5 linked regions of the Canis lupus familiaris genome follow. The protein of the gene in region 1 interacts with the protein of each later gene in a biochemical or structural test. Links are inferred from orthologs where the notes say so. Each region holds a gene or a part of one and is shown on either strand. Other genes may lie near its edges. The genes, in order: RHOA, DIAPH1, SMURF1, PKN2 and CIT.

What was found.
Region 2: the proteins of RHOA (region 1) and DIAPH1 form a complex in vitro, tested with the Homo sapiens proteins (2 studies listed by BioGRID and IntAct, with this or other methods). The link is inferred for Canis lupus familiaris from reciprocal best matches to the Homo sapiens genes RHOA and DIAPH1.
Region 3: the proteins of RHOA (region 1) and SMURF1 form a complex in vitro, tested with the Homo sapiens proteins (2 studies listed by BioGRID and IntAct, with this or other methods). The link is inferred for Canis lupus familiaris from reciprocal best matches to the Homo sapiens genes RHOA and SMURF1.
Region 4: the proteins of RHOA (region 1) and PKN2 form a complex in vitro, tested with the Homo sapiens proteins (2 studies listed by BioGRID, with this or other methods). The link is inferred for Canis lupus familiaris from reciprocal best matches to the Homo sapiens genes RHOA and PKN2.
Region 5: the proteins of RHOA (region 1) and CIT form a complex in vitro, tested with the Homo sapiens proteins (2 studies listed by BioGRID, with this or other methods). The link is inferred for Canis lupus familiaris from reciprocal best matches to the Homo sapiens genes RHOA and CIT.

Annotation. Positions count from the first base shown.
Region 1 is NC_049241.1:40,285,508-40,291,232, reverse strand, and holds part of RHOA (transforming protein RhoA), read right to left. Parts: intron 3,769-5,725; coding exon 3,648-3,768; intron 1-3,647. UniProt on the Homo sapiens protein: Small GTPase which cycles between an active GTP-bound and an inactive GDP-bound state.
Region 2 is NC_049223.1:35,675,630-35,681,354, forward strand, and holds part of DIAPH1 (protein diaphanous homolog 1), read right to left. Parts: intron 5,619-5,725; coding exon 5,439-5,618; intron 4,616-5,438; coding exon 3,866-4,615; intron 2,807-3,865; exon of another isoform or gene 2,786-2,806; coding exon 2,671-2,785; exon of another isoform or gene 2,555-2,670; intron 2,159-2,554; coding exon 2,150-2,158; intron 1-2,149. UniProt on the Homo sapiens protein: Actin nucleation and elongation factor required for the assembly of F-actin structures, such as actin cables and stress fibers. Binds to the barbed end of the actin filament and slows down actin polymerization and depolymerization.
Region 3 is NC_049227.1:10,566,761-10,572,485, reverse strand, and holds part of SMURF1 (E3 ubiquitin-protein ligase SMURF1), read right to left. Parts: intron 4,647-5,725; coding exon 4,532-4,646; intron 3,277-4,531; coding exon 3,098-3,276; intron 1,523-3,097; coding exon 1,385-1,522; intron 619-1,384; coding exon 498-618; intron 1-497. UniProt on the Homo sapiens protein: E3 ubiquitin-protein ligase that acts as a negative regulator of BMP signaling pathway. Mediates ubiquitination and degradation of SMAD1 and SMAD5, 2 receptor-regulated SMADs specific for the BMP pathway.
Region 4 is NC_049227.1:60,078,028-60,083,752, forward strand, and holds part of PKN2 (serine/threonine-protein kinase N2), read right to left. Parts: intron 2,791-5,725; coding exon 2,648-2,790; intron 1-2,647. UniProt on the Homo sapiens protein: PKC-related serine/threonine-protein kinase and Rho/Rac effector protein that participates in specific signal transduction responses in the cell.
Region 5 is NC_049247.1:16,225,389-16,231,113, forward strand, and holds part of CIT (citron Rho-interacting kinase), read right to left. Parts: intron 1,637-5,725; coding exon 1,495-1,636; intron 1-1,494. UniProt on the Homo sapiens protein: Plays a role in cytokinesis. Required for KIF14 localization to the central spindle and midbody. Putative RHO/RAC effector that binds to the GTP-bound forms of RHO and RAC1. It probably binds p21 with a tighter specificity in vivo.

The sequences.
Region 1 (5,725 bases):
TGGACTTACTGTTGTATTTGCTCTTCTGTCTCAATCTAGAAGTTTCTTCCATAAATAGGCGCTCAATAATTATTTGAATATATGAAATTATTACTCCCAATAGTCCCCCATCCCTTGGGAGTGTAGGACACAAAAATTAAAATGAATTGCCTCTGTGTTGCCTCCTCCTTTCATGAATAATTTTTTTTTAAAGATTTTATTTGTTTATGATAGACATAGAGAGAGAGAGGCAGAGGGAGAAGCAGGCTCCATGCTGGGAGCCCGACGTGGGACTTGATTCCGAGACTCCAGGATTGTGCCCTGGGCCAAAGGCAGGCGCCAAACCGCTGAGCCACCCAGGGATCCCCTCCATTTTTTTTTTTTTTTTTTTAAAGTAGGCTTCATGCCCAGTGTGAGCAAGAGTATCATGCTTTACTGACTGAGCCAGCCAGTTGCCCCAAAACTTTATTCTTAAATTCAGTGATGTCAATCACCTATAATCTCTCCTACCCCTAAAATAATCTGATCACATTGGGGCATAGCACCTTGCATGGATTTACTGTGGGGTTGTATGATGGCCTTTGGGAATTCCAGAAAACCAGGAGAAGGAATCCTTATCATCTAGATCAGGGGTCAACAAATAAAATCTTGTCAGCACCTGGGTAGCTTGGTTGGTTAAGCATCTGACTTCAGCTCAGATCATGATTTCAGGGTCCTGGGATAGAGCCTTGAGTCAGGCTCCCTGCTCAGTGAGAAGTCTGTTTGTCCCTCTCCCCCTCCTCCTCATCTTCTCTCTTGCATGTGCAAATAAATAAATAAATAAGTAAGTAAGTAAGTAAGTGGGGAGACTGGGTGGCTCAGTTTGTTAAGAGTCCAACTCTTGGTTTTGGCTCAGGTCATGATCTCACAATCGTGAGACTGAGTCCCATGTCAGGCTCTGTGCTGAGCACAGAGTCAGCTTCAGATTCTCATTCCTTCCCCCTCTGCTCTTTCCCTGACTCGCTCAAACTCTCTCTCTAAAATAAATAAAATCTTAAAAAGGGGGGGGGGGGGATTTGCTAGAACATAGACAAACTCATTCATTATATATTTTCTGTGGCTGCTTTTGTGATACAACAGTGGAATTGAGTGTTGTGGCAAAGTTTACTAGAATATATGGCCAACAAAGCCTAAAACATTTGCTATTCGGTCTTTTGTAAGTTTGCTACCCCAGGTCTCAAACTAGTATTATAGACTCTAGACCAGCTGCCAGTCCAGACAGCAGGGCTGAAACTTTCACAACATCCTGATTCCTGATCAAAATTGTTATCCTATACCTAGAGGTAAGGCAATAGTCTAACATCCAAGCAAGTAAAACCAAAGTATAACATTAGATTGACAATAGCTTTTTATTTTCTTGATCCAGATTTTGAGTTCCCGTAACACATTTTATTTACTTCGGCCAACTACTGGTGGGATTCGCCCCACCCTATCCAAGCCAAGACAACAGAACTTTAAGATTTCATTTATTTGACAGAGAGATAGCAAAAGCCAGAGAGCATACATAGGGGGAATGGCAGAGGGAGATGGAGAAGCAGGCTTCCCGCTGAGCAGGGAGCCTGATGCAGGGCTCAATGCCAGGACCCTGGACCATAATCTGAGCTGAAGGTAGACACTTAAGCGACTGAGCCACTCAGGCACCTTCAACAATAGAACTTTTAAAAGTACTTTGGCAAAGCCAAGCTAGTTAGCTCAGCAAAGGAGCTCCACCTAACAATCACACTCTTGCAAGGACCTCCAGGGAAGGCAGAGCATCCTCCAACATCAGACCCTCTCCCTAGGTGTGTTTGTATTTCAGAGGAGATCAATCTCTCTTTGCCTCTTTACTTTCTACCTCTGCTCTCCTCCCCAGGGCCTGCCTTCTGGGAGAAGGGCCATCAAGAAACAACTCATGGCTAGTAAAGAGAAATCAAAAGCTAAAGAAGGGAACCCGGGTGGCTCAGTCAGTTAAGCATCCAACTCTTGAAATCAGCTCAGGTCTTGATCTCAGGGCTTTGGGTTCAAGCCCTGTACTGGGCAGCCTACTTTAAATAAAAGGGGGAGGGGCGGCTAAAGACCTCCCTTGAGACCAGGAGACATGAAGACAAGTAACATTTTGCTCCGAATATGTTTCTGTCCCTAGAGGATTATACCTTGGATGATGAGATAGAGGGCACACGTTCTTCCTCATTCCTACAGGATTTAGACATAATCTATGTTGTGTGTGTGAAGGGAGGGTATCACATGTCTCTGTTTTTTCTGTGACCTGAAGCTCTGTCCTACCCTCTAGGGCCTTCCAACAGTCCCCCAAAGCAAGCCAGATTTGTTTGAAAACCCAGAACTAAAACAACTGTTGAAAATGACCAAAGTTAACCAATGGCAGAGAGGACTTGCTCTGTCTCAGTCCTGGGAGACACTGCACAGAGAGCTCAGTCTCAGCTTGACTCCTTGGGTTGCATAACCTTGATAAAGTGGTTCAAACTCTTGCGAGTGCCCAAGTATTTTCATTAAAATGAGTATAACCATGAAAAAAAAAAAAAAGGTCACATAACCATAACTGGCCAGCACAAGCCCAAATCACCAGCAGGCCCTCCAAGATGGTTTGTGTTAATGATAACAATATTCTTGGCCTTACTGCTACCTTGTAAAGACAGCACATCACCATGAGACATTTCCTCCTTTTTTTTTTTTCTAAAGATTTATTTATTTATTTATTCAGAGAGAGGGAAAGAGAGGCAGAGACACAGGCAGAGAGAGAAGCAGGCTCCATGCAGGGAGCCCGACGCGGGACTCAATCCCGGGTCTCCAGGATCACACCCCGGGCTGCAGGCAGCACTAAACCGCTGCGCCACCGGGGCTGCCCACCATGAGACATTTCAAACTTATCAGCACAAACTGAAAGTAAGTTCTGTTTCAGGCCCCGGTGCCTTGTTCTGCAGAGTGTGAGGTCAGTGTTATTCAGTCTCTTTCTGAAGGACAGTGGCTTCTCAGATGTGTGACCAACTGAGCTAGTGAAATGGTCAAGTTCAAGTCTCTCCTTATTAGCCTAGATACTTTAGAAAAGGGCTAAAATGTGGCTTTAAAAACATTACCAGGAGGGGCACGGGGTGGCTTAGCTAGCTAAGCATCCAACTCTTTGATTTAGCTCAGATATAATCTTAGGGTCATGAAATCAAGCCCTGTATCCACCTCCATGCTCAGTGGAGTCTCCTTCTCTCTCTCTCTCCCTCTGCCCTCCCTGAGTGGTCTCTGTGTCTCAAAAAAATAAACTTTTAAACAACAAACAAAAACAATACCAGGAAACAGCAAATCACCAGTCTTGATATCGGGAAGCAACAGGCTCAATATGAAGTACTGAAAAAAAGGTGAGCACCCAAAAAAGCCTTTCCAATATCTTAGTCCAAAAGATGGCTTTGTATTTGATAACCCACCTACTTTACAAGGTAGAGACCATGGCAGCCATAGGAGACCTAGGCTGAAAAGTGACCCAAGGCTTAGGCTCTATAGTCCGAAGCCTCTACTCCAGCCACTGATGACTCCTTCTCTGAAGTTCATCTTTGCTTTTTACCAGTTGATGCATGAAAAAGGACCTGAGAAACCAGTGTCAGACAGGCACACAGTGACAAACAACAGACTGCAGGGCTACTCACCTAAGCTATCAGGGCTGTCAATAGAGAAACACATCAGTATAACATCAGTGTCTGGATAGGAGAGAGGCCTCAAGCGATCATAATCTTCCTGCCCAGCTGTATCCCACAAAGCCAACTCTACCTGTGATAGGAAAAATAAACGTAAGAATGCAAGGTTAATCCTACCCACTTTCAGAATATGGCAAATAGTCCAAAATAGTAAAACAAACCTGAGGCAGAGGGTGTGTTTAAATTATTTTAGGTTGAAATTTCTCAAAATACTAGCAGTATATAAAGTACATAATTCAAAATATCGAGTCAAAAATTACTTATCTTGTAAAAAGCACAGTATTTAATTATAAACATTATACACAGAAAAGCAGATGAACAAGGAAAATCAACTATAAACAACATTCTACCAAGTATACAAAACATGACAGAGAAACACTAGACGTGAGTAACTTTCCCCTATATATTCTAATATAACCCTTTCCTTATGTTTTTCTCATCATTTTGCCCCAATGTGCAAACATGGATACAAGATTATTTGAGGGGAACCTGGGTAACTCAGTCAGCTAAGCATCTGCCTTTGGCTCAGGTCATGGTCCCAGGTCCTGGGATAGAGCCCCACATTGGGCTCCCTGCTCAATGGGGAGTCTGCTCCTCCTTCTCTGTTTCCCTCTGTTCTTCTGCTAATAAATAAATAAAATATTTTTTTAAAAATGGTGGGATCCCTGGGTGGCGCAGCGGTTTGGCGCCTGCCTTTGGCCCAGGGCGCAATCCTGGAGACCCGGGATTGAATCCCACGTCGGGCTCCCGGTGCATGGAGCCTGCTTCTCCCTCTGCCTGTGTCTCTGCCTCTCTCTGTGTGTGACTATCATAAATAAATAAAAAATTTTAAAAAATGGTATTTGAATTGGTGGGTAAGAAAAGACACCAGGCTAGGTGTTAGGCAAGGTCTCAGTGGACAAGAAAGGTCTCTGGACCTGCCTTTTCTGCTCAAAAAAATGTGAATGAAAGCATCACTAAGATAGTAAAGTACTCCCTTCACACCTGGAAACCTGCTCACCTTCCTGTGGTAGGAGGGCAAGCTAATGCCTGGGCTCTGGACAGAGGTCCCCCTCCATGTTCTCCAGCACTGCAGCCAGCCCTGTGATTTCTCACAACCAGAATGGGATTTTAACATCTTCTGCTTAGCGACCCCATGGTGCTCAAAGCTCTCCTAGTATTTGGAATACCCTTTTTTTTTTTTTTTCCTCCTAGAACTTTCACAGCCCATATTTCAAAGTTTCTAAGTAACATCTTTTCCTTAAAGTTGATGGCTAATTATCTCTTCCACCCTCAAACTCTGCCCTAGGATGCATCACTCACAACCTCCACGAGGCCCACCTGCACTTCTATCATACACACACACACACACCCCCCCATCAGTTTGATATGTGTATTTCTAATACTTTGATACCCAATCCTCACAACAGACTGGAACATTTACTCTCTGCCAAATCACGCTGCCCTGGCCCCTTCATGCCTCATGTGTATTCAGTGAGACACATCCAACCCTATATGCTGATAAATGAATGGTTCAGGGTATTGGGCCTATCTCTTGTTAGAATGGGCTTTTCCATTTTTGGTAGGTATGTTCCTGGGACACAATCACCTAGAATCTTTGACGGTTTCCTAGGCTCTGTTACTGTATACTCTTAAATGAACATTCTGAGGCAGTACCCTCTCTCAACTTGGAGGTTACTTACTTACTACCAAGCATTTTTATTTCAGGGACCCTAGAATTCTGAATAGCTGGCTTAATGTGCTTTCCAAACACAGTGCCACAAACTGAGGCACTAGAACAGAAAGGGATAGTAAGGTAAAGCAGAAAAATGAGAAGGATGAAAGGACATGGAATTATGGGGGCCAATATATTAGGTGCTAGCAGCATGAGACACATGAACAAATGCCCGAGAGGACTGAGTTATTGGAGAAGAGCCCATTGTTCTAGTTTTCTTTTTCAGCTGACCCACCTGCAGTGGGAATTTCATGCATCTTCAAAATATGTACAGGAAGCTGGATAAGACATTTTCACAACAAAAAGCAGAACATAA
Region 2 (5,725 bases), on another chromosome or scaffold:
AGAGAAGAAAAAAAGTAAAACAGGTAGCATTAAAGTCGGTAAAATATTAAAAATCCAAAGAAGAAATAATTTTTAAAAGGGGGAGGTAGTTCTTTTTCGGGAGGAAATGAATGAAAATATAGACGTAGCAAGGGCGACAAGCAGCAGGCAAGTTCTGATGTGCTGAGTGCTGCAAGTAGGTCAGAAACAGGTAAACAAATACTCAGGATTATATTTGACAGGGAAAAAAAACAAACCTCTCCCAGGCATTTCTTTAAAATCATTAAGATTTAGAATGTGTGGGAAACTGCTCATGATTTAGTAATTTTCAAGAACACATCCCCTAGTGTGTCCTAATGAAAAGAGGAAGAAATTAGAGTGTCAATTTAACACCTCAAAGTGCTAACTGAAGCAAAAGATAAAGACAAGCTAGAAATTTCCTCCATCACAACAGCAGCAATCTAGTAGTGCAGATTACTACCTGAAGATCAGTATTCCACTAAATTAAAATGACTAATTCACATTCATTTTTTAAAATCAGAGTAATACACAGAGTTTTCTAAGAATAATTAGAGGGGGGAGCCAAGGCTGGTAGAAAGTTAGAACCTTCCATGAAAAGAAAGTAGTTTCCAGGGCAGAATCTGAGAGCTGAAGGAACATTAAAAAATCTGGTTACTTGGGATTCCTGGGTGGCTCAACGCCTGCCTTCGGCCCAAGGCGTGATCCTCGAGTCCTGGGATTGAGTCCCACGTCAGGCTCCCTGCATGGAGCCTGCTTCTCCCTCTGCCTGTGTCTCTGCCTCAATCTCTCTCTCTGTCTCTCTCTCTCTCTCTCTGTGTCTCTCAAGAATAAATAACTAAAATCTTAAAAAAAAGAAATCTGGTTACACTGCTAAAAATGACGAAAGAGATATGGTCTTCTTGGGTATTTTTAAAACACTATCAATTCACAGTGCGAATAAAATGCCAAGGAAGAGCATGAAACTGCAAACCACCTAACTATAATCCCTAGTAATGCAAATGTACAGAAGAAGGGGGTGACAGGCAGGAGGAATAGGGCTGCCCAGTGTGAGTGTGCAGTGATGCTCAGAGGACAGAGATGCTCAGAGAAAGGGCCTTATGCCACAGGCCAACGTAGGTGTATATTTTGTGAACTTACAAATTAGGAAGTCATTTGATTTTGAGTTTCTCGGTCAACTAGTCTTCACTGATATACAAGAATAGCCTAAGTGGTCATTATCACAGTATTTTTCACTAAACAGGTAGAAGTAATCCTCTTGACTGAGCTTTAGTTCAGAAGATGACAGTGCTTCTAGAGTACAAGGCCACTTTGCGCTGAGTGAAGGGCAAGAGATCACACCTGGGTACAGCGATCTTACACTCTCAGATACACACACATAATTAGAGGCCACCAAAGGCACCTAGCAATGTTAGGCTCCGTAAGAGAACAAAGTGCAGCCTGGTTCCATCAGTTCACTTAAGGAAAAAAAAGAATAAATGTTTATTTACTGGGGGTGGGGAGAAGGCAGAGAGAAGAGGGGGAAATGCTCAAAAGTTGCACTTAATTTTCATCACTAGGGTCATAATATACCTCTAAGGAAACGAAGAGACACTGTAAGATGGAAATACAAAATGATTATGCTACGAATGTCATTAAATTCAAATACTGTATCCCTCAAGGAAATAACTACAAGTGCCCTGTCACAAGATAGCACAAAACCACAAGAATTAGGAAGTGAAGAAAGAAGAGGGCAAAACAGATCAGCTCTTCTAGAGCAAACGGGAAGATATGAAGGTGAAAAAGAAAAGCAAAAATTTATACCAAAAAAAAAAAACACAAAAAAACAAAAAAAACCCCACACACATGGACCAGAAGACAAGATCCCTGGATTTGGTCATTTAACCTTGGGCAAGCTACCTATTCAATTCAAACATGCTACAGAATGTAGCAAGTATATGGCAGCTTTGACCTAAACTTAAAACAACTGTCTATGCTGTCAGTTAATATCACAGTTACTGGTCCTTCTGGACTCTTTAAAAAAGGGGGGGGGGGGCAGAAAATAAATCAATCCTCTATCTCAACTCAGTTTTCTAAGAAATTCCTTTACATCTGTTACATCTTTTGTCTAATGTTCACGATACCCAATTAATAGGCTCTTCTGTATTCTTACCTTTTGAAGCTGGAGGAGCAAAGGGCCAGGAAGAGGAAAGCATCAGATATTGGAAAGAAATGTAAGAAAGAAAAAGCATCACATATGGTTGTTATTGTAGACAGTCACTCAATCACCTAACCTGTTAAAGACTGGCCCAACCCTTATTAATTAAGTTTGTAGGTCTGGGATGGTACCTTAAAGACAGGACCAGAATCAGTTCAAGAGTATTATCAAAATGGGCCCCCTAATAAGCTTCCTGTCACCTTACTCTCATTCCCCAACATGTTATAATGACAAAAAAAAAAAAAAAAAAAAAATACCTACATGCAAAAAAAATGGGAAAGAAAAATAACAAAATGCAACAGTTTTCTTTCCCAACCCCAGCATCCCTGGGATCCAAAAATATCTGAATTTCTTCCAAAGGGGAAAAACTACCTCTCTTCAACTCTCACCCAGGGAAAGGAATGGAATGGGAGATCCACCTAAAGGATATTCTAAGTCCTATACTGGACCTGTGCACGGAAGAGGAAGGTACTCACTCTTGGTCTGGGCAGAAAAGGTAAGAGTAAGTTTGGCGAAAAGTTCATTGTTCTCAAAGCGGTCCTCCTTCACCTTTGTCCAGAAGCAGTCCTGGGACAAGTCCTCAGCAACAAACTGTAGATACAGGCAGGGTGTTCAGAGTTACTAAGCTGAGCCTTGTACTTTCCATCCTAGAAAACTGACTAAGATGCAAAAAAGGGGAGTGATGGTTCTCAGCATTGTCTCACTAGGGGAAGATTAATGTGAGACACAGAAGAGCTGCACTCTTTGTGGTAAGGTCAAGACACAGTGCTTCCACTTTTTTTATTGGTGTTATTCAAGAGCTAGATCCAATTATGCTACTTACCCTCCTTCTAACCTCAAATCCTCTAGTTTTAGAAAAATCGAGGCTTTATTTTACATCTTTCCTTGTTCTACAACATTTTTTCCCATCAATTTGGCTAACTATGACAAATTTGTTCAATTTATAAATAAATCCCTCAGCTCCTTTAACTTGGTTTCTGGAAGCAGAAGGGTGATGCAGAATCACAGGGGCCTCAATTACATAGTGGGGACAATACTGTGCCATGCAAACATATCCTCTCATTTAGCTCATTTATAGGGGAGTGAGATAGCAGGGTGTATCCATAAATCCACCATTTTCAGATCAGCACTACTATCAGCAGCTTGCAGACTGATGAAATGACTGTTGTCAAATTCTCTGTTACTATGGCAGGGTTCTCATACCCTGAGAAAGAAAGACCAAAACATTAACTTAAGGATTTGTTTAGCTTTTGTAGCAGAGTATAGGGCCCAAAGAATTCTTCAAAGTGATGTCTGGCATACAGAAGATGCCTAATATGTGCTGAAGGAACATAAGCGTGAGTGGAACCTGAGAAAGACAGATGCTAGCCCTAAGAAAGGGAAGCCCTTCAATCCCTAGGTGGCTCAGTGGTTTAGTGCCTGCCTTCGGCGCAGGGTGTAATCCTGGAGTCCCGGGATTGAGTCCTGGAACATGAGGCTCCCTGCATGGAGCCTGCTTCTCCCTCTGCCTATGTCTCTGCCTCTCTCTTTCCCTGTGTCTCTCATGAATAAATAAATAAAATCTGTAAGAAAAAAAAAGGGGGGGAAGCCTACCTGGGCACAAAATACAAAATAGGAAACTGAATTGGTTTCTTACTACCTATTGAGGAAAAAATGGAGAGAAATTCTCACCTTGGACCAGTTTGGCCTTCGGAGTTGCACCTCTGGCTTATAAAGCTTCTTTGGGGTTAATCCAAATGGCAGAACTGGGGCTACAGGAACTCCAAATCCAAAAGGCGGAGGTGGAGGCATACCCATTCCAGGAGGAGGTGGAGGAATTCCAGGACCTCCAGGAAATGGAGGGGGTGGAGGGATTCCAGGACCACCAGGAAGAGGAGGAGGAGGAGGTGGTGGCATGCCTGCTCCTCCAGGCAAAGGAGGAGGTGGGGGGATGCCAGTACTCCCGGGCAAAGGAGGAGGTGGGGGGATGCCAGTACTCCCAGGCAAAGGAGGAGGTGGGGGGATGTCAGTACTCCCAGGCAGAGGAGGAGGTGGGGGGATGCTAGTACTCCCAGGCAAAGGAGGAGGTGGGGGGATACTAGCATCCCCAGGCAAAGGAGGGGGTGGGGGGATGCCAGCACCCCCAGGCAGAGGGGGTAGGGAGATGCTACCATCCCCAGGCAAAGGAGGGGGTGGAGGGATACCAACACCCCCAGGCAAAGAAAAGGGAGGTGGTGGAGGAGGAATGGTATCATCTCCAGGAAGAGGAGCTGGGGGGGGTATGCTAGGCTCCCCTGGTAAAGGAGGGGCTGGAGGTGGAATAACAATGCCAGGAGTGGGGGCAATAGTAGCATTGCTAGGAGGGGCCACAGCAGTAACTGCAGCAGAGAGAGAAGCCACTTCTTTCTTGGCATCTTCCAGTTCCTTGGACAGCTTAGCAACCTAGAGGAACAACATCAATGGAAGTATTATTCCTCACTCCACATCAGGGTCTACTGGGCTTGGGAAGGACCTAAAAAACTACTTAGTCCAGAGTTCTCATTTTACACATGAAGACACTAAAAGGAGTCTGACAGATGAAATGATTCCCCCAAAGTCACACAGATATCTAGTGGCAGACCCAAAACTAGAACTCAAGTCTTCATGTTCTTAGTTTGGCATGCTTTGCATTAAAAAGGCAACTTCAACCTTTATGTGAAATTGTCCCTTTAATTAGAAAAAGCAAAGTTCAAGTAAATCAATTATTCTAAAGAAATAACCACATAAATGATCAAGATATCAGATACCACAGATCATTAGATCATTTAAATCATATTAACTGCAAAGAGAGTGTGAACATTAATCTGTTCAGAAACAGCTAAAATAAGAGAAAATTAGCAAACATACGAAGAGTTTTTTTGGATTTTACTCCTGAATTTATGAGACAACTATTAGTTTCATTTCTGGGTATTACTGTGACTTCTTTTATTCTCCGTATTGCTCATCTTTCCCAAATTTTCTATCGTATGTTTTGAAATAAAATAAAATAAAATAAAATAAAATAAAATAAAATAAAATAAAATAAAATAAAATAAATAAATAAAATAAAATAAATTAAAATAAAATAAAGTAAATGATTTTTAAAATAAGCATCATCTAACTAGATCACCTACTGGTAGTCAAACCCTCTCCCGGAGTAAGATAACTGACTCCTGCTGTAAGACAGGCCTGTCATGAGGCTGCTGATGGCATGGAGGTCACTCTGCCTTGCCTGCTCAGACATTACCTCTCCTGTGAGCTGAGACACCTCTGCTTCCAAGTCCTGCTTCTCTGTAGCAATCTGCTGCTTTTCAGAATCCAAGGCATCCTTTTCTCCCTGAAGATCCTGGAGCTTCTGCTCAAAGTCACTTTCCATCTTCTTCATTTCTACCTGTAGCTCATGTCGGGCTGTTAACTCTGAGTCCAGCTAAAGCAGAAAAGAATCAGGCCCCTAGTGAGCTCCCCATTCCAGCAAGAAACAATGTTACTCCCCAAAATTCTTTGCTTTGTTCTAATTCTTTAAGGAGCTCAGTT
Region 3 (5,725 bases), on another chromosome or scaffold:
GACAGAAGGATTTCAGAGCCCTGAGCCATTTGGCATCGGAGGTGGATTAGAGATGAATGAACCACTATGTTCGAGCACATGAAGTGTGATTAGAGAAGACAGTAACACTTTGTTCTGAGTCTAATAATAGCAAGAGCCAAAACAGAAAGCTGACGTGGTGGGAGAATCTGGTGAGAGCAGATAATTTCTTCCCTCTGAGGTGGATACACAGGAGGGGGTTTAGGAACCTCCAGGGCTAGAGCTCCTAAAAAATATGATAAGACACAGAACGCCCCACACAACATCCAGAGAAGAATCTAGACTCACTCCACCAAAGCAGACAGCCCCTCGGCGTGGACATAAACAGGCTCAGACACCCTCGACTCCCACTGGCTCTAGCTCTATTCTTCTGGAACCCTGACAATCCCCAGCCTTGCTGGGGAGCAGGCAAGCCACACTGTCAGACAAGGCATCTGAGACCTCTATTGCTAACTTGGCTCGTCCCGCTGAGCACACACCTCTAGTTCCTTCTGGTCAAAAGGCTTCAGTAAGTGTTGAGGAATAAGTTCATTAAACCCTTTCTGTAGAGCGAGGAACTGGGCTTCGATCCCCCTCATGAACCTCCAATTCACATACAACCTGGAAGACAAAGTCACAAGTTAAAGCCAATAGCAAATAGTTCACGGGAAAGATTTTTTCCTCACAATAGGTTCTGACATCACCTGCTGAAGCTAATGCCTTGCCCACCAGGCCTCCCCTGGGGGGCACCAAACCCCCACCAGCTGGAAGTACCAGGTTAAAAATAAGTCAGCACAGGCCCTGACATATTCTCGTGCTTTGCTAAAAACAGCAGTAGGAATTAACCTGACCTGTCACAGCAAGTGGCATAACTGAAAAGTAGATTTGAAAATAAAACACGAGACACCGTGAGAGCCACACACCAGTCTGGCAGCCTAAGCACACCGACAAGCCCATATGCTTCCAGATTTCTAGTGTAAATGACTAGTCATTTATTTGCCATCAGAGGTGGGAAGGAAAACAGACCACAGTGAAGCAGACTTCCTGGAGACTGCTCTCAAGGAAACTAATAGGCTCCAAGTCTCTCCTGCGCCCACCACCTTCACACCCAGATCGGAAGGCCACCTGCAATCCCTTCCACCACTTGGGTTCTGGGCTCATTAGTCTCCCTTCACCAGGTCAGCCCTGGTGGGATCGGGGCTCCTCTGCACAGAGCCCCACTGCTGAACCCGACTGCTCTATGACTGTGATTCTGATCAAAAGTGCCGGCCGGGATGGGTAAGCCTCAAACAGCGAAGGAACTTTGGCAATCTAAATGTGAACCCAGGATGGTCCCAGGCATCTGGACGTCCCCATGGGCAGCCACCACGGTTCCCTGGAACATTACCGGACATATTCTTTCTTGTTCTCCTCTGTGACAGGAACATTTCGGCCATTGGGTTTTAGTTCATGCTGAAGAATCCTCCCGAAAGCATTGTGTTCCACACAGAAAGTGTGGTCTAGCACGGGGGTGATATCATTCTCTCTGTGGAAGTTAGGACAGAAGACGGATGTCAGACCATGGCCACAATACAGCTGTGAACAGAACAGGAGCTGGAACAGTCCAGGAGATGGATGGACGGACCAATGGCATTTACTGACTGCTACCCCCAGAGCTGAGTGGGGACAGGTGGGGAGCCTTGGGCAGACACAGGGCCTGGGACAGGCCAGGGACACTTGGAGCGGGAGGTGCCGGGGGACCATGGTTCCACGATGCACCCTTGATACTTGGCTCCCCTCGTTCACAGGAAGGTGACAGTGGCTCTGTCATCCTGTGATTTTACAAGACACAGTGACCTGACTGCTTTGTAAACAGAGTCTATAAACAGAAGAGAGGGATGCATGAAGAGCCGAGTCAATGAGAAAGCAACCTGCAGGGAGATACACTCAGATGATACTGTCCTCCCGCCCCTTTAAGGCAGCCCCTCACACAAAGTAGCACATGAGAGTCTCGATGGGCTCCTCCACCTGCCACACTTCTCGAAACAGAGGGAAATATCTCCCTGCCCCTCACAGACTACCCATTTCCAGTAGGGCCACGTGAAGTGAGGTAGAGTGCAAGACCAGACTCTCCCTCTGCCAGAGCCTGGATCTCCCGCTGCTGTGGGATCAGTTCACGTGTGAGGACCTGTGACACGCTGCTCACCATGCAACTGGGCCCACTGCTTGCAAGGGTATGTTAGGATAATTCTTTTAAATTTTTAAAATTATTTTTATTTTTTAAAGATTTTATTTATTTATTAATGAGAGACACCAAGAGAGAGAGAGGCAGAGGGAGAAGCAGGCTCCATGCAAGGAGCCCGACATGAGACTCGATCCCGGGTCTCCAGGATCACGCCCTGGGCTGAAGGCAGATGCTAAACCACTGAGCCACCCAGGCTGCCCACGATAATTCTGAAACAAAGGTGACTGAATATGGGGATCCCTGGGTGGTGCAGCGGTTTGGCACCTGCCTTTGGCCCAGGACGCGATCCTGGAGACCCGGGATCGAATCCCACATCGGGCTCCCGGTGCATGGAGCCTGCTTCTCCCTCTGCCTTTGTCTCTGCCTCTCTCTCTCTCTCTCTCTCTGTGACTATCATAAACAAAAAAAAAAAAAAAAAAAAAAAGGTGACTGAATATAATTTCTCTTGATACTTTTCTTGTAGCAAATACTTTGACATAAGATACTTTGATGCTGATTTTGTTTTTGATACTTTCCCTCCACCTGCTAACCAGAGCCCCCCTAGAGAGTCAAAAGCAAACCACCCACCCACCTCTCAGGCCTGGGGACCAATTGTGATCAGACCTGAAAAATGTGAGGAAACAGCAAAAGAAATGAGCCTATGAAGTGAAACTGGCCAAACATCATGAAAAAAGCCAGTCAACAGAGTATTTCTTGTTAAATCTTCTTTTATGTTTCTGGTTGTAAATCAGTGTTTCTTTATTTCTCTGCACCAACTTCACACCCACCCCTCAAAAGCATTCACATGCACACACACATACAGAATGATAGTCTGGCACACAAGATGGGTGGCTGTGCACGAATGTTCCATGAACTGAACGGTGAGGCTGTACTTACAGAATCCACACCAAGCTCTTGTGTAATTCTGGGTCCACCGACTCCAAATCCGAGAGCTGGATGGGCTTCCCCAGGAGCTGCTTATAGAAGGGAACCGTGAAGCCCCCGTTTATGTAGTGCCCGTGGAACACAGCGAGACCCATGATCCGGCCCACAAAATGGAAATAAGACAGGTGGTCCTGTAGGGGGCACCAGAGAACACGAAGTCATTAGAAAAAGGCAGAGCCAGAGTGGAGAGACCCTGTGCTGCCTCCAAGCTTTTTGGGAAAACTGTCTCATTGCAGCCAGGCCCTGACTCCATCCCTCACAGGCTGTGCTCTCAGACATAGGAAAGAGAGCAGGTTAGGTGGTCAAAACTTGGAGCACGTCTTCTGCATGGATCATCTGAACATGTTACATGCCCTTAATTCAGACACCTGCTCAGGACTGCTACGTCACTGGCGGCACTCCGTGTGAAAGGATAATGCAGGGCCCCTTACTCCAAAGTTGTTAAGGATTTCAACACAGCAACTGCAGGGAATGAAACCAAGCACAGGTCCTCCAAAGAGCAAGGTGCCCAGGAAGCTGGCCCCGCGTCTCCCTGCTGCACCACAGAGAAAGCAAGCAGATGGCAAATCCCCTCCTTCTTCTACCATCCCTCCCCGAGTCCCTAGAGAAAGTGGAAGAGAAAAAAATGCAAAGAAGAAGAAACAGCAAAAAAGGAACAGAAAGGAAAATAAGTGTAAGAGGACCATTCTAAAACTAGAGCTGCTCTGGTTTTTCACAGGAAAACACACATCTCTGCTTTCCATTGGAATTATAATCAGAATTCATCAAAACCTCATTTCCATTTTGGTAAAGAACTCTGTCACACCTGAATGATTGTAGTGTAGAGCTGGTCCCAGGCTTTGCCTCAGGGGCCTTGGCCTCGGCAGCGGCAGCGGTAGCGGTAGCGGTGACCACGGGCCCTGCCCCACAGGACAGCCCCCAAACACCTGCTGCCCAACTCTGGGCTGGTCACGCAAACACTCCACACTTACAGCCTCCTCTCAAGCAAGCAGCTAAGACTATCAGCACTGGTGGCCCAAAAGGCCAGTTGGGGAAGTTCCCATTTTGATTAGGAGGAGGACCGACTATGTAGCCCACGTCTCAGAATGACACGGTCAACAAACACAGTCCTACTACCTCAGTTCCCCCAATTGGTGATTAAAGGGCTCTGAGCATTCCGAGCAGCTCATTTTCACTTCTGTCTTTGAAAACAAAATACCCAGTGATCCCAGGCATGGGACACACAGGAGAGAAAGCCTCCATCTCAATCCAGTTCCCACTCTACCTTTCAGTATCTATTGTCAGAGACTTTGCATAAGTCTACAATGAATAAACTGAGACCAAACCTGAATATCTATTTACAAAAATTTTCCAATTCACTCCCTCTTTATAAGCGTGAATACTTACTGGATTAATTGAAGAATCCGGGTTGATTTGCAACATGTAAATGTTGTCCGTAGAATATTGGAAGAGTCCATAATATGGATTCAACATTTCATGGCATAATAAATAAAGCCACTCCCTAGGAACAATAACATGAAAGCCATTTTATACGTGTGAAATATCTAATCTTATGTCTTACCCAAAAGACTCATTGCCTGTGCCCTGGAAGGCCACACTGGAGGGATGTCCTGCTCTGAAAGAAAGTGACTTGCACAGATTGATTGGGAAGTAATAACTCACTTCTGACTGAATGACAGATGGCTTTTATGGCCCAAACCCCGATGGTTCTGAAGCTGATGAACCAGATGGACCAGAATCGGGACCGCCTCCTGCAAGCAATGTTCTCGACACGTATCTTGTCAGCTTTCCTGCACCTCAGCTGGAGTTTTCTTTGCTACTGTGCAAAGATCCACATCTCAGGTGATGATGTTCATGATGTGGTAATGATGGACAAAAGTACAATAAGAACTAAGATCCTACTTTTATTTAAAAAGAGTGTGCATGCACACACATGTACACACAACAGGAAAAAACTATCCGTGGAGCAAAGAGAAAAAGGAGGATTTACGCTGATACGTTGACAATAGTTAACCTGAGAATTAGCAGTCTGGGGCACTTTCATTTTTCTTTTGGTTCTTTCTAGATACTTTTTAAATTTCCAACTTTAACATGTTTCTAACACTTAAGTGAGGAGAAGATATTTCAGAGTCTGGGGAGACAGGGAATAAGAATGACTTTTGCCCTTCATAATCTTCTATCTTGTCAAATTCTATTTTGCCATAAAAATTTATGACTTTTTTTTTTTTTTTTTTTTTTGCGAGAAAGAGAAAGTGCGCATGCAAGCAAGGAAGGGGCAGAGGTAGAGAGAGAATCATAAGTAGGCTCCATGCCTGGCATGGTGCCTGGCTCGGGGCTCGATCTCATGACCCTGAGATCATGACCTGAACCGAAATCAAGAGTCACTCGACTGACTGAGCCACGCAGGTACCACAACATTCATTACTTTTTGTAATTTAATAAAAAAGTTTAATACTTAATAAGATTAGATTCTAAGAGTTCTAAAATTTGGATGGAATATATAAGAAGAAATTATTTTCAGAATTCCTATATATTCCAATCATTTCATTGTTAAAAAAAAAAAAAAAAAGCCCCAAATCA
Region 4 (5,725 bases), on another chromosome or scaffold:
AGCAGATGCCAACGAAATTACACTCAAAAGCATACATTAGGCTTTTTTAACTTAAGCCTGATATACAACCAGTCTTAGGGTATCTCAGGAAGCAGAGTTTAAAGTAATGACCCTAAGTCATAAAAAAGTAGTTAAATTACATTCAGTATAACCATTTGATGCACAAAGGGACAAGCTAAACCATGTTGAAATGTGGCTATGAAATATGGCTTATTACCTCACAATCTGAGAGGACTTAAGATTTACTTCTTCTTTACAGGCTTACTTCCTGTTAAGTTATTAATGATTAAGGACCAAAGAGAAAGCAATACTACTGGAAAGAGAAAGATCTTTGATCTGAATCTATGAAAATGAATTTAGAACCCAACTTCCTAAAGCTGAGCTGCCAATTTTATTGCTCTTATCTAAGGAAATTTCAAACTTTTCAATGATCATAACCTTAGTTTTGTTCATTCACTCACTCAGAATAGATAAATCAAATAGATAAATCAAATATCTACTATGTGGGATAATATAATTTCTTTCTGGGATTGAGGCAGCTGCAAATTAGAGGAAAATTCTATTTCACATGGATTCTCAATCAGAATTTCAAGTGGTAACACAAAGCATTGGTCTCTCTGATCAATTTTGTATTTAAAAAATACAAATCCTTGAATAGTGAAGATATACCCACATATTCATTAAGGTGTTAAAGTTCCTTGTTTCTGCAAATCGATTATAAGCTAGTAGAACTAACAACAGAATGCTAACAAATGTGTTTTAAGCAAATATAAAAAGAATGCAATGGTCTGTTCAGTATCTAAGCTTACTTTAAACTTCTCTGATACTTTCATTCTCATTTGGCACTGGGAAAGAGGACCTAGTATGTTAGTTTATTCCTGGAGTCTTTCTAGTTCTCAAAACCCAAAGAAACATAAATACAAATTTCAAAAACAAATTTGAAAATGCATGATATATCCAGTGAGTTTTCAATTATTTGTAATAATAGAGAAATTAGATATAAACTTTAGCCAAACCTTTTTATCACAGTTAGTAGTTACTGCTAAAATTTTACCAACGCTATAAAATTATAAAGTATAAAAAAATTATAAAGTATGATGGTTAAGTTTTAAGTTCAGTTCTTATCCCAACTATCCTCTTACAAAGGTGCTAAAGAGAACGGATATTGCAATAAAAATTTGTGATGGAAGAGCTGAATCCCTTGTCTTTTATATTCTTGTAATTAGGAGGTTAATCAATTAGAGGCTCTTTTAAAAAAATATAGAACAGGAGCTTCATTTGTCCATTGCAAAGTTTTCCAGTCATTTTAGGATAGGAGGAGATAGAATCAACTGGTTCTTAATTCTGTAGTATTTTATAATAAACTCACATTTTTTGCCTATCAGCTCTAATATGTGGAATAAATTTTAAGCAAGCATATAATTTTTGGTAACTTAATTCCACACTCTGACGTAGCAAAGCATAATGGTTTAGAGAGGTTCTTAAAACAGAGAGCCTTAAAAATCCCAGCTCCATCACACGAGAGCTCTGTGACTTCAAGCACGTTATTAACTTCTTTGTGCCTCCATTTATATACCTTAAAATGGGCCTAAGACTAGTATTGAGCTTGTTAAAGTTTGCTGAAAAGCTAAATGAGCTAATATTTGTAAAGTAAATAAAATAGTGCCTGGCACATGGTAAACATTTTAATTAGCTATTTCTTTTCCTCTTCTAAGTATCCACTCCAATTTGACATACCAAAAGGGCTATCGTTTGGATGGATTAAAATCCTTTGTCTGGAACAAATATCATTAAATGATAATACTTTGGAAATTTCTGACATTCAATAATTTGGTCAATCATTTATTCAGCTACTAATTTATTCATGCTTAGAATGTTCAAAGAAGATTGCTGGTACTGGGAAACCTGCAAAATAATGAACCAACCTCATTTTTTACAACCCCAAATCAGTAAGCCCCTCTAAGCAGTTTTCAATGACTTGTCTAAATATTTACCCTTTCCCAATTCCACTCTATCATTTCCAACAATTTATAACAAAATAGACTAGCCAATTCTTGCTGCTTTATTAGATATAACTCACCGTTTCCTAAGGAGTGACAATTTCTGTGTAAAACTAAGCTATCTCCATAAATTGATTATTTTTTTCAGAGAGAGAGAGAGAGAGAGAGAGAACACATGCATGAGTAGGGGTGTGGGGGGGAACAGAAGGAGAGGGAGAGAATCTTATGCAGACTCCATGCTGAGCAAGGAGCTGGATGCAGAATTTGATTTCATGATGGAGATCTTGACCTAAGCTGAAACCAAGAATCAGACACTTAATCGACTGAGCCACATAGGTGCCCCCTCCCCCGAAGAAATTTAAGTTAATCTAAAAAAAAACAGGAGGGGAAAAATGTTAATCTTTTTAACTCTGAGGTACTGTTTTTGAAGATAATATGTATTTTGATCAACACACAGCTGACTTTTTGTTACAGGTATAGAGGTATAGAGTACAAGATAGAATCATAGGCAATTATTAGTATATTATAAATGTGTATAAAACTTAAGTTCTACTTATGCGGGAGACATTAAGTCATTTATAAATGACATCTTTTGTTCTTTCAGTCATCTTTCCTCATTTCTCTCTCATCTATTTTATACTGCTTACCTCACCAACGAGCATTTCATATATAAGAACACCAAGTCCCCACCAATCTACAGCCCTTGTATAGGATGTTTCTGTTAATACTTCTGGGGCAAGAAATTCAGGAGTGCCACAAAATGTGCTTGTTCTATCTCCATATCCCATTCCTGAAAAGGTAAAATTTAAGTATTTGTTAGCAAAGAAAAAACCTAGATGATAGATAAAACATCAGACTATATCCCTAGGAAACAAAATTAAATTTCCACATTTGTGTATGGTGATCAAACTCAAGATATATCAGACTTCTAAAGAAAATATTAGGACTGGTGTAGAGAAAACTGTGCAATAGTTAACTCTACTATTTAATTAATAGGTAAAAATAAATATTTTGGTCAATCATTTACTCAGCTACTAATTTATTCATGCTTAGAATGTTCAAAGTTAAGTTAACAAGGGTATTAAGGGTAATAAAATTTTTATATTTCATTTTACTTATTTTCTCTCTTGTCATTACTTTAGAAGTGATGCTAAGAAGTTATAACAAAAAACTGATTTTTAGCTTCAATTTCTATTATCTTTCAAATTCAGTCTTTCAAATATTTTATTTGGTTCATTAGAAAAATAACATTTGGTATAGAAAATACCAAAAAAGCAAATCCTTGGATAACTAGGAGTTAGCCATCAAAACAACCTTGAAAAAGAAAAACAAAACTAGAGTTATCACAATTCCAGATTTCAAGTTATACTACAAAGCTATAGTAATCAAAACATTATAGTACTGGCACAAAAAGAAACACACAGATCAATGGAACAGGTAGAAAGCCCCAGAAACAAACCCACAATTATATGGCCAATTAATCTTCAACAAAAGAGGCAAGAATATGCAATGGGAAAAAGAAAGTCTCTTCAACAAATGGTGCTGGGAAAACTGGTCAGCTACATGCAAAAGAATGAAACTGGACCACTTTCTTACATCATACAATAAACTCAAAAGGGATTAAAGACCTAAATGTGAAACCTGAAATTATAAAAATCCTAGAAGAGAGCACAGGCAGTAAGTTCTCTGATAATAGCCATAGCAAAGTCTTTCTACATACGTCTGAGACAAGGGAAATAAAAGCAAGTGTAGGGGCACCTGGGTGGCTCAGTGGTTGAGCGTCTACCTTTGGCTCAGGTTGTGATCCCAGGGTCCTGGGATCCAGTCCTGCATCATGCTCCCTGCATGGAGCCTGCTTCTCCCTCTGCCTGTGTCTCTGGCCTCTCTCTCTGTGTCTCTCAGGAATAAATAAATAAATAAGTAAAATCTTTAAAAAAATTTAAAAAAGCAAGTGTAAACTATTGGGACTACATGAAAATAAAAACTTCTATACCAAACCATAAACCAAAGTATAAGACAGACTATTGAATGGGAGAAGATATTTGCAAAGGACAATCTGATAAAGGGTTAGCATCCAAAATATATAAAGAACTGATACAACTCAATACCTGAAAAACAAATAATCCAATTAAAAGATGGGCAGAAGACATGAATAGATATTTCTACAAAGAAGACATACAGATGACTAATAGACACATGAAAAGAGGCTCAACATCACTCATCATCAGGGAAAAAAACAAATCAAAACCACAATGAGATACCACCTCACACCTGTCAGAATGGTTAAATTAAAAAACACAAGAAACAAGTGTTGGCGAGAATCTGGAGAAAAAAGAACCCTTATGCACTGTTGGTGGGAATGTAAATTGGTGCAGCCACTGTGGAAAACAGTATGGAGGTTCTCCAAAAAATTAAAAATAGAACTACCTTATGATCCAGTAATCACACTACTGGGTATTTGCCCAGAGAATATAAAAACACTCAAACAATTTAAAAGGATATATGAACCCCTATGTTTATTTATAATATTCAAAATATGGACGTAGCCCAAGTGTCCATTGATAGATAAATGGATAAAGAAGATGTACACACACACACACACACACACACACACACACACACACACAATACGGAATCTTATTTAGTCATAAAAAGGAATGAAATCTTGCTATTTGTAATAACATGGATGGAGCTAGAGAGTATAATGCTAATTGAAATAAGTCAGAGAGAGACAAATACATAAGGTTTCACTCGTGTGGAATTTAAGAAACAAAACAAATGAACAAAGGGAAAAAGAGACAGAGAGACAGAGGCAGAGACACAGGCGGAGGGAGAAGCAGGCTCCATGCAGGGAGCCTGATGTGGGACTCGATCCCAGGACTCCAGGATCACACCCTGGGCCGAAGGCAGGCACTCAACTGCTGAGCCACCCAGGGATCCCGATGGTCAGATTTTTATTTACATGGGCCCTTTTTCCATTTTAGCAACTACATGACAGGTTGATTTGAAGCAGAAAAAAAATCTAGAGAGAGGAAAGGCAAAGAGGCTATTAGTTTTGTCAAACAAGAGGATAGCTAGCAATAGTAGAGGGGAAATGAAACATTTAAGAAATATTAAGAAGGCAGATGTCAGCACAGTTTGGCTATTAATTTGATGTGGAAAAGTGAAGAGAACAGAATCCAAGATAATAACACATTTTCAAGTTGGGAGCCTGAGAAGACTGTGGCACCATCAACTACAAACTAGACTATTTGAAAAAAAGAAATGATTTTGGTTTGTATAGTGTTAGAGATAACTACTGACCAAAGCTGTCAAGTAGATAGTTGAATATATATGTTAGGAAAGGAATAATGGATCTGGTAATTATTAGCATATTGCCTGTAGTTAAAAACTAGCAGTGAAGAGCAATAGGCTAAGGACAAATTCTGGGGAACAAAAGCATTTATATCAGCAGTGTTCAATACAAGGAAATCCAGTAAGAGAAAAAAAGTATTACTGGATTCAGATTAAGAGGTTGGTGGGTAACTGATGGAAATATATTTACAAATTCACTCATTCATTCACCCAATTACTTATATTAATCAAACATTCACTGAATACTTAAGATGTGTCAAGTACTATGTTATATATGCTCTATGGAAACAAAGCTGAATAAGAAACAAGAAGCTACCCAGTGTAGAAGGAAGACATAGACAATGTTCACTACAATGCAATGTATTAAATGT
Region 5 (5,725 bases), on another chromosome or scaffold:
AGGCAAGGCTAACAACATTCCAGTAAAACTTTGTTTACAAAACAGGTCTCCCAGGCTATGGTTGGCTGACCCTTGACAGAGAGACCACATGGAGAAGCCACGTAGAGAGCAAGAGGCCGAGACTTCCCAGAAACAGAGAAAGGCCCAATCACCCCCCGAGTCCCAGCTGAGTCTAGCCTTCTGGGCAACTTGCCAGACACTGAGCAAGTCATCTGGGACGTTCTAGACTAGGAGAGTCCTGGGTGCCTACAATCTTAGCCCAAGTCACATGGAGTGGAAAAATCCTAGCTGTGCCCAGTCAATCCCCAGATTCATGAGAGGTAAGACAATGATTACTGTTTTAGGCCACAATAGTTCAGGGTGCCCGGTTACACAGCAAAGTTGTATAAGGGAAGGTTTCTCATACTTGGCACTACTGAAATTTTGGATCAGATAATTTTATGCTGTGGTGGCTATTGTCATTGCAAGAAGGTTAGCATTATCTCTGGCTTCACCCATTAGATGCCGGTAGCACCCTTCCCCTGCTAAGCTGTGACAACAAATAATACCTCCAGACATTGCCAAGAGTCTAGAGAAGGCGAAATCACCACTGGTTGGAAAACACTGATGTAAGGTAATCGAATACAAAACTAGGACTCAGACAGCGGCAGCCAACTCCTCCATCTCAAGGAAGACAAGAACAGGGTGTGGGCACAGCCAATTTATGCCTTTCATAGGGCCGGACACCTTTCCCTTCCTCAGCCCCCTCTTCCATTAAAAAAAAAAGTCAAGGGGCGCCTGGGTGGCTCAGTTAGTTAAGCATCCAAATCTTCATCTCAACTCAGGTCTTGATTTCAGGGTCAAGCCCCTTGATTTCATGAGTTCAAGCCCCATGTCAGGCTCCATGCTAGGTATGGAGCCTACTTAAAAAAAAAAAAAAGAAACTATGAAAAAAGTCAAAATTATATTTTATGATGACATTGTCATAAAGATGAATAAAATCCCAAATCATTATTATTATAACCATATTTTTCGTATTATTTCAAAATTAATTTAACTAGTGAAAAGAGGTTCAATTTATTAAAATTAAATATTGTGGGCTCTAAGCACTGTGCTTGCTATGCCTGTTAGATTATCAGCCCTGAGTGGGTATAAGGATGGAGCCAGTGGACACTGCTTAACAGCTGGAACCAGCTATACCAAAAGTTTAACCCAACCCTAGATTTCTCAGTTTCATGAGCCCTAAATTCACTTTTTGGCCTCAGCTAGTTTGAGTTAAGTTTCTGTCACCTGCAACCATGAGACCTAACTTATCTGGCCTCCTAACTGCAGCAGATAGAAACTGACCTTGAAACTGGGTCTGAAAAAAAAAAAGAAAAAAGAAAGAAACTGGGTCTCTCTTCCTCCAAGCAGAGTTCTTACCCACTACCACCAACCACTAACTCATTTGGCTTCCAGCATCTTTGCAGTTTTCTCTGGCAGAATGGTTTTCAAGAAAAATTTCTCCAAACTTACACTTCCGGACAAAGTTGCTCACGTGCTTGATCTTCATCAGAGCAGGCTGACTGCATTCTCCAAAGAGAACGAAGAGGGCATCTAATATCCCTTCTCGGGAAAGAGGAGACATCTGCTGTTGAGTCAGAAAGGGTGGTTTCCCCTAAAAACAGCAAACAGCAGATGGAGACACTGTCAATAATGAAAAGCTTTGATCAATAACATCCACACAGAGTAAATTACAAGCCACCAACTCTAACTGCTCACGACACACGCTAACAGCACAATTCTGGGGCTTCATTCTTTAAAGCAACATCAATTGAGAGTCATTACGTTATCACTTGTACGATTCCATTACCGTGGATTTCTTCCACCAGCACCTGGGAAGAAAAGCTTCACAAGCATGCCATTAACAAGAAAAGGCTCTTCTTTCTTAACAGTCTGAGGCTCATGGGAACATTTACTCTGGACCCTGCTGGTTACGACATGCATGTTTCCATGTCTCTACAATAGGACACAATGATTGCTACTTCTTTTGAGTGTGCCTGGAGGCTTGCTAATATAACTGCAGTTCCTTTTTTTCTTTTTTTTTAAACGACAATGACCTCCCTTTTTTTTTTTTTTAAAGACTTTATTTATTTATTCATGAGAGACACAGAGAGAGAAGGCAGAGACATAGGCAAAGGGAGAAGCAGGCTCCATGCAGGGAGCCTGATGCAGGACTCAATCCCAGGACCCCGGGATCACACCCTGAGCCAAAGGCAGACACTCAACCACTGAGCCACCCAGCGTCCCAACTGCAGTTTCTTTAATGCTCTCAAACAATCTAGAGTAGTATGGGCAGAGTGACCATTCTAAAGCTGAATTTCTTCATAATCCAGACCAACAGTTGCAAACTGGCAGACTGCATCTAACCCACACAGACATGTTTTGTTGGGCCTGCAGCATTTAAAATAATTTGAATTATCTGCCAATATTGAAAAATAAGGAAATTTTACCCGAAAGAAGGGGTAGGATCTGGGGGTTCTCCTGAAACACTGGAGGATAGAGCCACATTGCCCCACATTCTTTTTTTTTTTTTTTTTTAAGATTTTATTTACTTATTTGTGAGAGACAGAGAGAGAGAGAGGCAGAGGCACAGGTAGAGGGAGAAGCAGGCCCCATGCAAGGAGCCCGATGTGATTGTCCCACATTCTTGTCTGGTGATAAACAGTGGCTCTCGGGTAGCCCTGGTGGCGCAGCGGTTTAGCGCCGCCTGCAGCCCAGGGTGTGATCCTGGAGACCCGGGATCGAGTCCCCCACATCGAGCTTCCTGCATGGAGCCTGCTTCTCCCTCCGCCTGTGTCTCTGCCTCTCTCTCGCTCTCTCTTAATGAATAAATAAATAAATCTTTACAAAAAAAAAAAAAAAACAGTGGCTCTCGAGTGATGCTGCCCCTCTGTGTAGAGAATGTGTTCTGCAGTTCACCGTAGATCTGACTGCCAGTCTTCTATCGGGCCCATGTGACTCACTCATACTCACTGCCTAGCCCCCAAAGACATGAGTTTGCAACCTTTGGTCTAGAGCAATGATCTCCATGTGCATGGGGATCCCTGGGTGGCTCAGTGGTTTAGCACCTGCCTTAGGCCCAGGGCGTGATCCTGGAGTCCCAGGATCGAGTTCCACATCAGGCTCCCTGCATGGAGCCTGCTTCTCCCTGTCTCTGCCTCTGACACTCTCTCTCTCTCTCTCATGAATAAATAAAATCTTAAAAAAAAAAAAAAATGATCTGGGATGCCCGGGTGGCTCAGAGGTTGGGCGCCTGCCTTTGGCCCAGGGCGTGATCCTGGAGTCCCAGGATTGAGTCCCACATCAGGCTCCCTGCATGGAGCCTGCTTCTCCCTCTGCCTACGTCTCTGCCTCTCTCTCTCTGTCTCTCATGAATAAATAAATAAAAATTGTTTTTAAAAAATGATCTCTATGTGCCAGGCTATGGATTGTGTGGTGATATCTCTGCAAAGATGGCCCCCTACAGGCCCTTTATCTCTACATGTGCTTGCCACCACTCCATTAACAATCTATTTCCCCTCCTCTTGAATTTGTCTCTGTGACTTGCTTCAAGCAACAGGTGACACAAGTGACACTGCCCCAGTTCAGGGCAGAGCTCTCAAGGAGGCTAGCAGCTTCTGCTTTTGCTCTTTTGGGAAGCCAGTCGCCATGTAAAAAAGCTTAGGCTAGACCAGGGGTCAGCAAACTATGGTCCATAGGCCAATCTGGCCCCACTGTGTTTTTATAAATAGTTTTATTGGAACACAGCCAGACCCACTCATTTACATATTGTCTGTGGCTGCTTTTGTGCTACAGTGGCAGAGGTGAACAGTTGCAGCTACCCCAAAGCCTAAAATATTTATTATTTAGAAAAGAAAGTTACAAGGCCTGGGTCAGACTACTGGCTAATGAAAGGCCTCATAGAGAAGTCAGCTGGAGGGACACTGAGATGCACCAGCCAGCAGGCAGTGCCCAGATGTTCCAGCCCCAGCCAAGCTCCCAACACAATATGGCCCCTTGAGTGACCCCAGCTGATATCACGGGGTAGAACAGGAAGACTGCCTAGCTGATTCCAAACAACCCACAGAATCAGAAGAAAAAATAAATCGTTACTGCTTTAAACTTTGAGAGTGTTTTCTTACACTGGATAATAGAAACAGGCTGGCTACATTTGAATCACCTGAAGAATTTAGCTACAAAACAACAATAACAAAATACTCTGGTGCTATCCCTGACCTACTGAACAAGAATTTCCCAGTTAGTAGCTTAGAACATGTTTTATCAACAAGCTCACCAAGAGATTCAAGCTTCGGCCAAGTATGAGAAGCCCTGGGCCACAAGCCACCATACCTGTCACTTTAGTTATACTTCTGTCACAAACTCCCAAAAATACCACCATGCTGATGTTTAACAAAGTTCTCCAGTCTGCCACGAAATGAGAAAACATGACCAGCACATGATGACTTATCTATAAGGCTAACTATATTCATATTTTAAAGTGCTCTTTTATTCTGAAATAATGTCTCCTTTCTCTGCTGTTTCTTAAAATGTCCCTTCTTTATAATGAAAGGACCAGAACGTAATAGGCTTTTCTCTATATCTGTTTTTTTATATCCTTTTTACATCTCTTACTTGACAAAATAAAAAGTTGGTTAACCTATGTCAGCCTAGCAAATCTGTGAAATTGCGCTGGCTCAAAAATCTAGAAGTCTCTGACCGCTGACGCAGAACTCCTTGGCAGGTTAAGTATAATGTTAAGTAGAAACTAAGACCCAGTCTAAAGTCCTTACCTAGATGGAAAACAAAATCATTATCCTACCTAAACCTTGTTAAAATTACATTACATGGGAAAAGAACAGTATCCATACCAGGTTAGGCAAATGTTAGGTGTATGGTACGCTTGTGAATAATTGCTTTCCCAGGGACAGGGAAGAACTCATCATGAAAAAAAGATAAACCGGGGATTTACCCCCAACCCTTACTGTTATAATGACATTTAAATATAATACACACTTAATAAACTCTGACATATGCTGGCAGCGTTGCCAGTGGTTACATGCCCAGCCTCTGTTGTCAGAATAAAAATGGAACCTGGCTCTGTCACTTACAAGCTGCGTGATCCTGGGCAAGTCCTTGCCTCCTTCAGTATCTGTCTCTTCCTACTTAAAATGTAAATAAGAATAGTCCTTACGTCCGTTATGAAGCTGAAGTAAGATAATCAGGAGCATGCTGGTTCTGTACCCAGCACATTGGAAGCCACAATTATTATATATGGAGCACAGTATAATGCCTTTAGTCAATTTTGTAATAAATTGGAAAAGTTTTGGAGTTAAATGTAAAGAAACTAAAGCACAGCAGCACTCCAGTCACCTACAGTTAGGGACAAACTATTCATTTTTGAAAAATATCTCATGACTTAAAACCGTAACAGGAATGGTCCTAACACCACAACCTAAGCTTTCGATCTGTCTCCATTCTGAGCTGTTTGGACATTCCCCAATACCAATATTTTTGGGGGAAATGTCATCAAGAAAGTATCAGTATTTATCATTGTACAGGTATCCTTGCATAAACACCTTCCTAAATATAATTATTGCTAAGTAAACATAAATTGATCAGTATTATAACTAATAAGCGCTTAATATAAATTATCTCATTTAATCCTCATGATAACCTTGTGAATTTGGTGCTATAACCTCTATTTGACAGAGTGGCAAATGGATGC